2 linked regions of the Ovis aries genome follow. The protein of the gene in region 1 purifies or fractionates together with the protein of each later gene. This does not show direct contact. Links are inferred from orthologs where the notes say so. Each region holds a gene or a part of one and is shown in the gene's direction. Other genes may lie near its edges. The genes, in order: FYB1 and LCP2.

Evidence for each region.
Region 2: the proteins of FYB1 (region 1) and LCP2 purify together in Homo sapiens (co-immunoprecipitation; 6 studies listed by BioGRID and IntAct, with this or other methods). This does not show direct contact. The link is inferred for Ovis aries from reciprocal best matches to the Homo sapiens genes FYB1 and LCP2.

Annotation. Positions count from the first base shown.
Region 1 is NC_056069.1:35,337,065-35,341,383, forward strand, and holds the start of FYB1 (FYN-binding protein 1), read left to right. Parts: upstream 1-1,388; 5' UTR 1,389-1,446; coding exon 1,447-1,449; exon of another isoform or gene 1,450-2,591; intron 2,592-4,319. UniProt on the Homo sapiens protein: Acts as an adapter protein of the FYN and LCP2 signaling cascades in T-cells. May play a role in linking T-cell signaling to remodeling of the actin cytoskeleton. Modulates the expression of IL2. Involved in platelet activation.
Region 2 is NC_056069.1:2,324,761-2,328,584, reverse strand, and holds part of LCP2 (lymphocyte cytosolic protein 2), read left to right. Parts: intron 1-221; coding exon 222-271; intron 272-3,450; coding exon 3,451-3,542; intron 3,543-3,824. UniProt on the Homo sapiens protein: Adapter protein primarily involved in signaling pathways within T-cells, as well as other immune cells such as platelets, mast cells, and natural killer (NK) cells.

The DNA of each region.
Region 1 (4,319 bases):
TGGTCTCGGGTTAAACCTGAAAACTTGGATTTTTAAAATTTCCCAGGTGATTTTAATGGGCTGCCAGGTGAAAAGCTTCTGCTTTAGAACCTAATTTGTCATGTTTGGGAATGCATGTAAGAATTAAAGATTTTAAAATTTAAAAAATTTAAAAAAATAAATAAATAAATAAATAAAATAAAAATAAAAATAAAAAAATAAAAAAGAACCTAATTTGTAGTGTTTCAACAGATAGTGAATGAGAGGCTTCCTGGTTATGCTAAAGAATGTCTCCATTTCAAGGTCTTCTGGCAATGTCTTATTGTCTAAAAAAAAATGCCTAGTTTTCTCATACCTGTCTTGCCTTGATCTTCCTCCTCTATTCATTCATTGAGTACTTACGATGTGCCAGGGACAGTATAATTTCTGACTACTCTCCTAGCTCCTGAGTATCCTCAAGCCCCATTTTAAAAACACCTACAGTTTCAAGGCAATCTCAAATTCCTTTCTACCTCTGGGAACTGACCCCTGCTCTGCCTTTCTGTCTTGTCCTAGCAATGGTTCTATCCATATTTCTACCCACATCTCAATTTTGAAAAACATTTTTGTTTAATAAATAAATAAAAGGAAATATCCACTTACTAAAGAATTTTTATTGTCATGATAGTAATTACTATTAGTTCAGGATCAAACAAAAAAAATTGACGCCCCTCTTCTAGGTTAACATGATAATATACACAAGATCTAGAAATTTGCAACCCCAAATTAAGATGTCAGTTGCTAACAAATATTACCAAAAAATTAACGCATGAACCTAGACTGTTATGTACTTTATGTTTTTAATGAAATGAATAACATCCTATGATAAGGTTAAAACATATTCTGCATTTAAATATTGATGAGATAGATTTAAATGCATTGAAATTGATGATTAAAATTATCATTATAATTTTGTTCTTTTTAAGATTATAGTTGTTTTAAACAAGTATTATATACTCAAAATTGAAAAGTCAAAAAGTCGGCAAAGTACAAAACAAGGATTATTTATAATAATAAATATTATTATTTATTCACCACTGAAGTCAACCACTGTTAACATGTTAATATGAATCCTCTACAAACTCATTTTATATATAAAATGGGTTAGTAACATATACAGAATTTACTATTCAGACACTTTAAAAAAACTTCTGTGTCAATCTTTAAGACTTCAAAGCTCTACCTGTAGCTGTTTTCATATCAATCAGTAAGGCATAGTAACTGGATAAACCTGGCCAGTTACACAAATGTTCTGAGGGCTGAGATAACATGCAAATAAACCTTATATATCAATGTGTGAAAACTGGACAGACCACAGGGTTCAAAAAAGGAAGTACCGTCTGCATAGCTAACTTGCACATTCACTGTCCGAGTTACAGCATCTTCGGAGTCGCTGTGTGCCACGCACATCAACTCTTTCATAAAAAAATGGTAAGTAATAGATTTTATGACTCTCCTTGGTCTCCTAGCAAACATCTGATCTTTTCTACATAGAGCAGAGAGGGCCGGGTGTGCCTTACGGGCAGGTCCTCTGAGCCTCTGGAATTTTTGCTTATCTCATCTTCGTTCCCTTTGTTAATAAAGTTGCTAAGGCATTATTATACCAGTTGAGAGCCTGTGGCCGCAGGAGTTCCCTTTTCTGATTCTGGCCTCTGAACAGGGGAAGAGTTACGCCTTAAAGAAAGAAAAGCTACATTCTTTGTCTTTGCTTCTTAAGATGGTTGGTTTAGAACCACAGTGCAATCAAGTTTCCTTTCATGAGCACTTTAAAAACCTGAAGAAAACTCCAGCGATATACATTGGGCAATATCGCTGAAGACGAGGGTAGTTTTGACAACATAGTGAAGTTTTACAAGAGGAGTTCTTTTGTTTAGAAAAATGCAGTTTAGGGGATTTCTCTGGTGGTCCAGTTGTAAAGACTACGCACCTCTAGGTGCATGTTCAATCCCTGGTCTGGGAACGAAGAGCCCACATGTTCCTACAACATGGACAAAAACTAAAATTTAAAAAAAGAAAGAGGAAAAAAAATGAATTTTATTATTTTAGTTAAGAGAAGCAAACAAAATCCAAATAGTCCAAATCTTAGGGACAGTTTGTGTTCCAAAGTTAATAGAAAATCCTTATGTGGAGCACACTTAAAATCATGACTGGGTTCCCAGGGTACTATAAAAACTAGCTTAACCCATAGTGAACCTAAACAATAGCACTAATATTCTGCTAGTTTCCTATTATTTCTCTGTGTAATTGACTGTGTTCTCATACATGTGGTGTTCTTAGATGCCCAAAGTCCAGAAGAGAGATAACTTTTTAATTCCACACGACTTTCCCCAACTCTCCAGCTTGTACAAGACTAGAAATTTGTTACCCCTTCTCTCCTTATGGAGAAGGAAACGGCAACCCACTCCAGTATTCTTGCCTAGAGAATTCCATGGACAGAGGAGCCTGGTGGGCTACAGTCCATGGGATCAGAGTCGAACATGATTTTGTGACTGAGAAATCTCTTCTTATAGAGAAGATGACGGCCTTTGCCACCTCCCAGTGGGAAAATGGGGACAAGGCGATGATCCCTACAGGTACTTGGTGGGGGTAGAGAGTGCACTCTGTAGGCACTGGAATGAACAGGGTAAAGAATTCATGGCATGAGTTTGTAGTCTGAAATCTTATGAGCCAAAATGGGGAAAGTACAGAGGTGGCTCAGATGGTAAAGAATCTGCCTGCAATGCAAGAGACCTGGGTTTGATCCCTACCCACTTCAGTATTCTTGCCTGGGAAATGCTATGGACAGAGGAGCCTGGTGGGCTTCAGTCCATGGGGTTGCAAAGAGTCGGATACTACTGAACGACTATCACTAATGTTTCCAAACTCCGCCTGCAGATCTAGGATTCTTAGAAAAGATCTTGATGTTAATTGCCATATTCTCTTCAAAAATAAGTGAGGGCATTGTGATTTACAGGGTTATTTGAATTTTCTTAGGGAACACAAGACAGCAATAGAAGAAAAAAAGAAAGGTTTAATTGGATAGTGTGTTTAATGTCCTACATAATGTTTTCTTAAGAGAGCACAATCTTATTGTAAAAGTAACACATTATTAAAGAAAATTTCTTAGAAATATAGACATGCGGAAATGACACAATACATATTTTCTATAGTTCTATCACCTGGGGCAATCATTGCTAAATTAGTATAGATCCTTCTAGAATTTTGTCATTTAAAATGTATTTTATAAATATAATTTTTTATAAGTACTATCATACTTTATAAACCATTCCCTTATCTGCTTTCTAATTTAAAATATCTTGAATAATATCTGAGTTATGAAACCATTTTAATAATGAATCATTTTTAGTGACTGCATTGTATTCTGTAATTTATTTTAATCGGTTCCATATAGTTGGACATTGAGATTGTTTTTTGTTTTATTTTACTTTCTTTACAGTCATACAGATAAGACTATCACAAACATTCATTTACATTTGTTGCCTAATTATTTTCCATTGCAAGAAATGCTAAAAGAATAGGTAGATTTAAAAAAAAAAAAAACATATATTTCGACTTTTAACCAAGTTACCCTCTTGTAAAGCAACATATTTTAATTTTACCTACTATATAGTGAGGGCTTCCCTAGTGACTCAGTGGTAAAGAATCTGCCTGCCAATGCTGGAGATGCAGGTTCAATCCCTGGGTCAGGAAGAAGGAAATGGCAATCCACTCCAGTATTCTTGCCTGGGAAATCCCATGGACAGAGAAACCTGATGGGCTACAGTCCATGGAGCTGCAAACGAGTTGGACACAACTTAGCAACTAAACAACAAAACTGTATAGTGTCATGGTGCATGAATTTCCCAGTTGCAATAAGCTATATGATGCCTATCTTTGTAGCTTATCAAGGTTTTACTTGAAAAGGAAGTAGATTTCCTTTAGTTTCTCTCTCCCCAACATTGCCTCTGACATTCTATAACAAGTTGCAGAAAGGCAGGTAGCATATAAAAGGAAGGAAAAAACTCTTCTACTTTTTCTCCTTGGGAGACGTCATAGATCAGTCAAAGACTGTATTTCTATCTACTCATTCTCTGCTTTCTAGTTGCATGGTTTTTTCATAAGTCACTTAAGCTCTGAGTTTGTTTCTTTATCCAAAAATGATGAAGATGATTATGACAGTATCTTGAAAGGTTGTTTTGAAGAGTAAATAAGATTGCAATTATAAAGCACCCATTAAAGTGCAGGCAGCCGCCAGACACTGAACGAATATTGGATTCTTTCTTTCCAGCCCCAAATAAATGATTTCCTAAGGAGGTATAACG
Region 2 (3,824 bases), about 33 Mb from region 1:
CTTGCTTTTGTTCTTCATCTTGAGAAGCTCGTTAGACTCCGGCCTGGTCTTCCTGAGACAGGAGTGAAGTGTGTCCAGCAAGTTCCTTCTTTTTGCCCTGCCCCCGTGGTTTCAGGGAGGGGGTGAGAAGAGTCAGAGAAGCAGCATTTCCCCAATTCAGGTCCCTCTCTGACGCCTTAAGCCCGACCCAACTTCACATCTGTTCTTTTTTGTCTCCACAGCAACCCTACCTTTCCGCAGAGCGCCTCCCTGCCGCCATGCTTCTCTCAAGGTTTGTTCTCTGCGCTCTAGTGACCGACTCTAGCCCATATGCCGTCGTCCCAAAGCCTTTCGGCAAAAGTTTTGTTGTTTCCTAAAAGCATCCGACTTCATTATTCAGCACTTCGGTTTCTGAAGTGTACCAAAGGTTGCTGTAGTGATAGGATACTCCACACAACAACAAAAACAACACACAGACACACACACTCCTCCGCAGGAAGGCGCCCTTGGCTTTATCTTCCCAGGCGGAACTTTTCTTCCCGGCTGTTTTTATATGATGCTTAGGATGGTGCTAGCTTTCTCTGTAGTTTAGATTTCTATAATGAATCTAACCTGGAGTGCTAGTTGAGGAACATGTTTAAAATACAGATTAAGGGACCCCCAACCCCCAGGATTCTGATACAGTAAGTCTGGCTGAAGACCTGTATTTTCTAATAATATTTCCTTTGGGTGTCGATGGTAAGTATTTCTTGAGAGAGTCCTCAAACTTTAAAAGGCACGCAAATCCCCTGGGAGCTATGTTAAAATGCAGATTCTAATCAGTGGGTCTTGGATGGGACCCAGGGTTCTGCATTTCCAGCAAGTTTCCATGTGATTCCCAAGTTCCAAGTTCCCAGCTGGTATTGCTGGTTCATGGACCACTTCAAGTAGAAACAAAGGCCTACCCAGTAGGACTAGCTGTGTTTATTTTCTATCCTTAAGGACTTGCAAGTGACTAGTACATGGTAAGCACTTTAAAACATTTGTTGAATGACTGTCAAATGACTATGGAGAGTCACCCAACTCTAGTAAACAATTTTTTCTTCTCATGCTAGAAAACACATCTTGTGTTACCAGATTTTCTGATTTATTTTTCAAGAAAACATAGAAATATGGCTTTCAATGTGAAATTACCTAATTTTTAAAGATTGACTTAAGATTTAAAAATTCTGTGAGGAAAAAATAAAACACTTTTTTTTTTTTGTAGTCATGTACACATGCAGGAACATTAGTTTGTGTTATAAACAGAAAACTAATAAGTTTAAATTTTCACTTAAGAGTCGACTCTTTCTTTTAGGGGCATGTCTATTACATTCAGTTGGGTACATCATGCCATATATGTATGAGATTCTACTGCTGACACCAATGAAACCCACTGTATTTTCAATGTTTCCTAAGCATTTTAGGATATAGTGTCCTTATTCACTACATGGCTTCCACAACTCCCCCCACCCCTCAGTGGCCACAACTCATTATTTTGTAAACCTACTTTGTGTCCCTAGCCTGGTCCGTCCAGGCATCTGAGCTTGAGACACTTCACTTATAGCAGTATCTGCCAAAGTAAATTCCATAGACCCCTGCTTCTATGAGTTGGTGACAGAGATTATTAATATAAACAGTTGGCTTTTATTATTTTTTTGAATATAATCATCCCTCTAATACAGGAGGGGGGATTGGTTCCAGGACCCCCCACTGATAACAAAATCCCAGGATGTTCAAGTTCTCTGTATAAAATGATGTCGCACAGTTGGCCCTTCACATCCACAGCTCCACATCCACAGACCTGGCTAACCCATTGGTTGAACCAGTCTGTAGTCGGCTGAATTCACCGATGCGGAAGCCATGAACGCAGAGGGCTCACTCTACTACCTTAATCAAAATCGATCCCTTTTCTCCCAAGAGTGCCAGGACACCTGGTCCTCAGTCTAACCCACTGGTTCCCCAAGGTCAGGAAGATAAAGCATGTGCTTTATATTGGCCAAAAACCTGTGCCAGTTCCCTTGAGGATCTATTTATTAAGGGTGGAGGGTGACTGCAATGAAAAGTAATATGTTGTCTGTCATGAACAGTGACTTTGTGGTGCTGACCTGCAGATGCAGATGGAGAATAATTCCTCAGTTCTAAGACAGCCATGCCCTGTAGACCTTCATTGCATGACTTTCTCACGTAGCTAGATCTCACTCACTCAGCAAGCATTATACAATGTTGCACTGCAGAGATTGTCATGCGGAAGGTCTGCTCAGGCACTGGGAGCCTTAAGAAGGAAGATCAGCAGCTCAGGCTAGCCCCATCTGCATCTCGAATAATCCTGACTAGGAAGACTTGGACTCTTCAAGTAACTCTCCCCTCTCAGGGGCCCTGGGGCAGGCGATTTACCCTCTGTGGTGTATTAGATGTATTAGATGAAGTAACAGAGCTGGTGCAGAACCACCTGGAGTGCTTGTTAAAGGCAGATTCTTGAGCCTGGGTGATTCAGGGTCCCCCTGGAATTCTCTTTTACGCACAGTCATATTTGGGAACCACAAGCTCAAGTTCTGGCTCTGCCACTAAGACACATGATTTGTTTAGACTCTCTGAATCTTTGTTTCATGATATTCAAAAAGAAGACAATACCCACCTTGTGGAGTTGCTGTGAGGATGAAAGGTCATGCACACAGGTGTCTTATTCAGGGCCTGGACACAGCAGTGCTGAAAAAATATCTGTTGAATGAACAAATGAGTGATGCATGAATTGTTAAGAGAACATTCAACTCACGGACTTTACCAGCCTGAAATAGCTGTTCTGGCATATAGAGACAGGTTTAGCAACTGCAAATCAACACAATCAAACCTTCCCTGAGATTAGGAAACACATTCTCTTGAAAAATTTCATGGAACTGTCAACAAGGAAAAAAAAAAGCATTAGAGAAGATGAGGCACAAATGCTGGGTAATTTACAGACTCCGACACAGGCTTCCTGATGGATCAGATACTGTCAGGGCCTCCTTCTATGTGAGTCTAACAGTTCTACTTCTAAAAGAAATTTGGTCAAGAACAGCAGGTAGTAAGCTCTGGCTCTGAAATCTAAGAATATTCAAGGTAATTTCACCTCATCTTGGGTAAGTCACATGTCTTGTTGTGAAAATGAGAACATAATTATCCTGACCTCCACATTTTACCATTTGGTGGTATATATGTAACTTGCTCAGTTAAGCAACCAATCAAGTGTGCGGTGTAGTGTCTCAGAATTTCACTGGCATGGCTGCAGAATAGGGCCCGAAACAGCCCTTGTGGTTTTGAACAAGTGAAAGTTATTTTGGAAGCTGTGGTTTCTTGAAACGTTAATTGCTGGGAACAATGGCAAGGGCATTGTGGAGGGCGGGCAGTGATGGGCTATGACTAGTGAAAAATTGCTTAAAGTAAATTAACGTTCAAAATGCTATACTTTCAAAGGCCCCCTCAACAGACCACTTCCCAGAGTGGAAGGCAGGAACTTCTCGCCAGTTCCCAGCAAACCTAGACCACAGTCCCCTGGGGAAGAACAGGTAATAAGGCATATGTTCCTATTTTATTTCTACACCAGCAAACGAATCATCAGAATCTTCCACTGAATAGTCTCCTATACTTTTATTTTCTTTTACTCTTAATTTTTTTAGTGAAAAATATTGAGGGGAGAATTCAGTTGAAAAATATTCTTTTTCCTTGATGTTCCTCTTCCAATGGCAAATGTGTGTTTCACATTAAACAGAAAAATAATTCTATTTTTCATCTATTTCTTAGTTTATGACATAGCATAAGTCATTTAACTGCTCATTAACCCAGTGTTT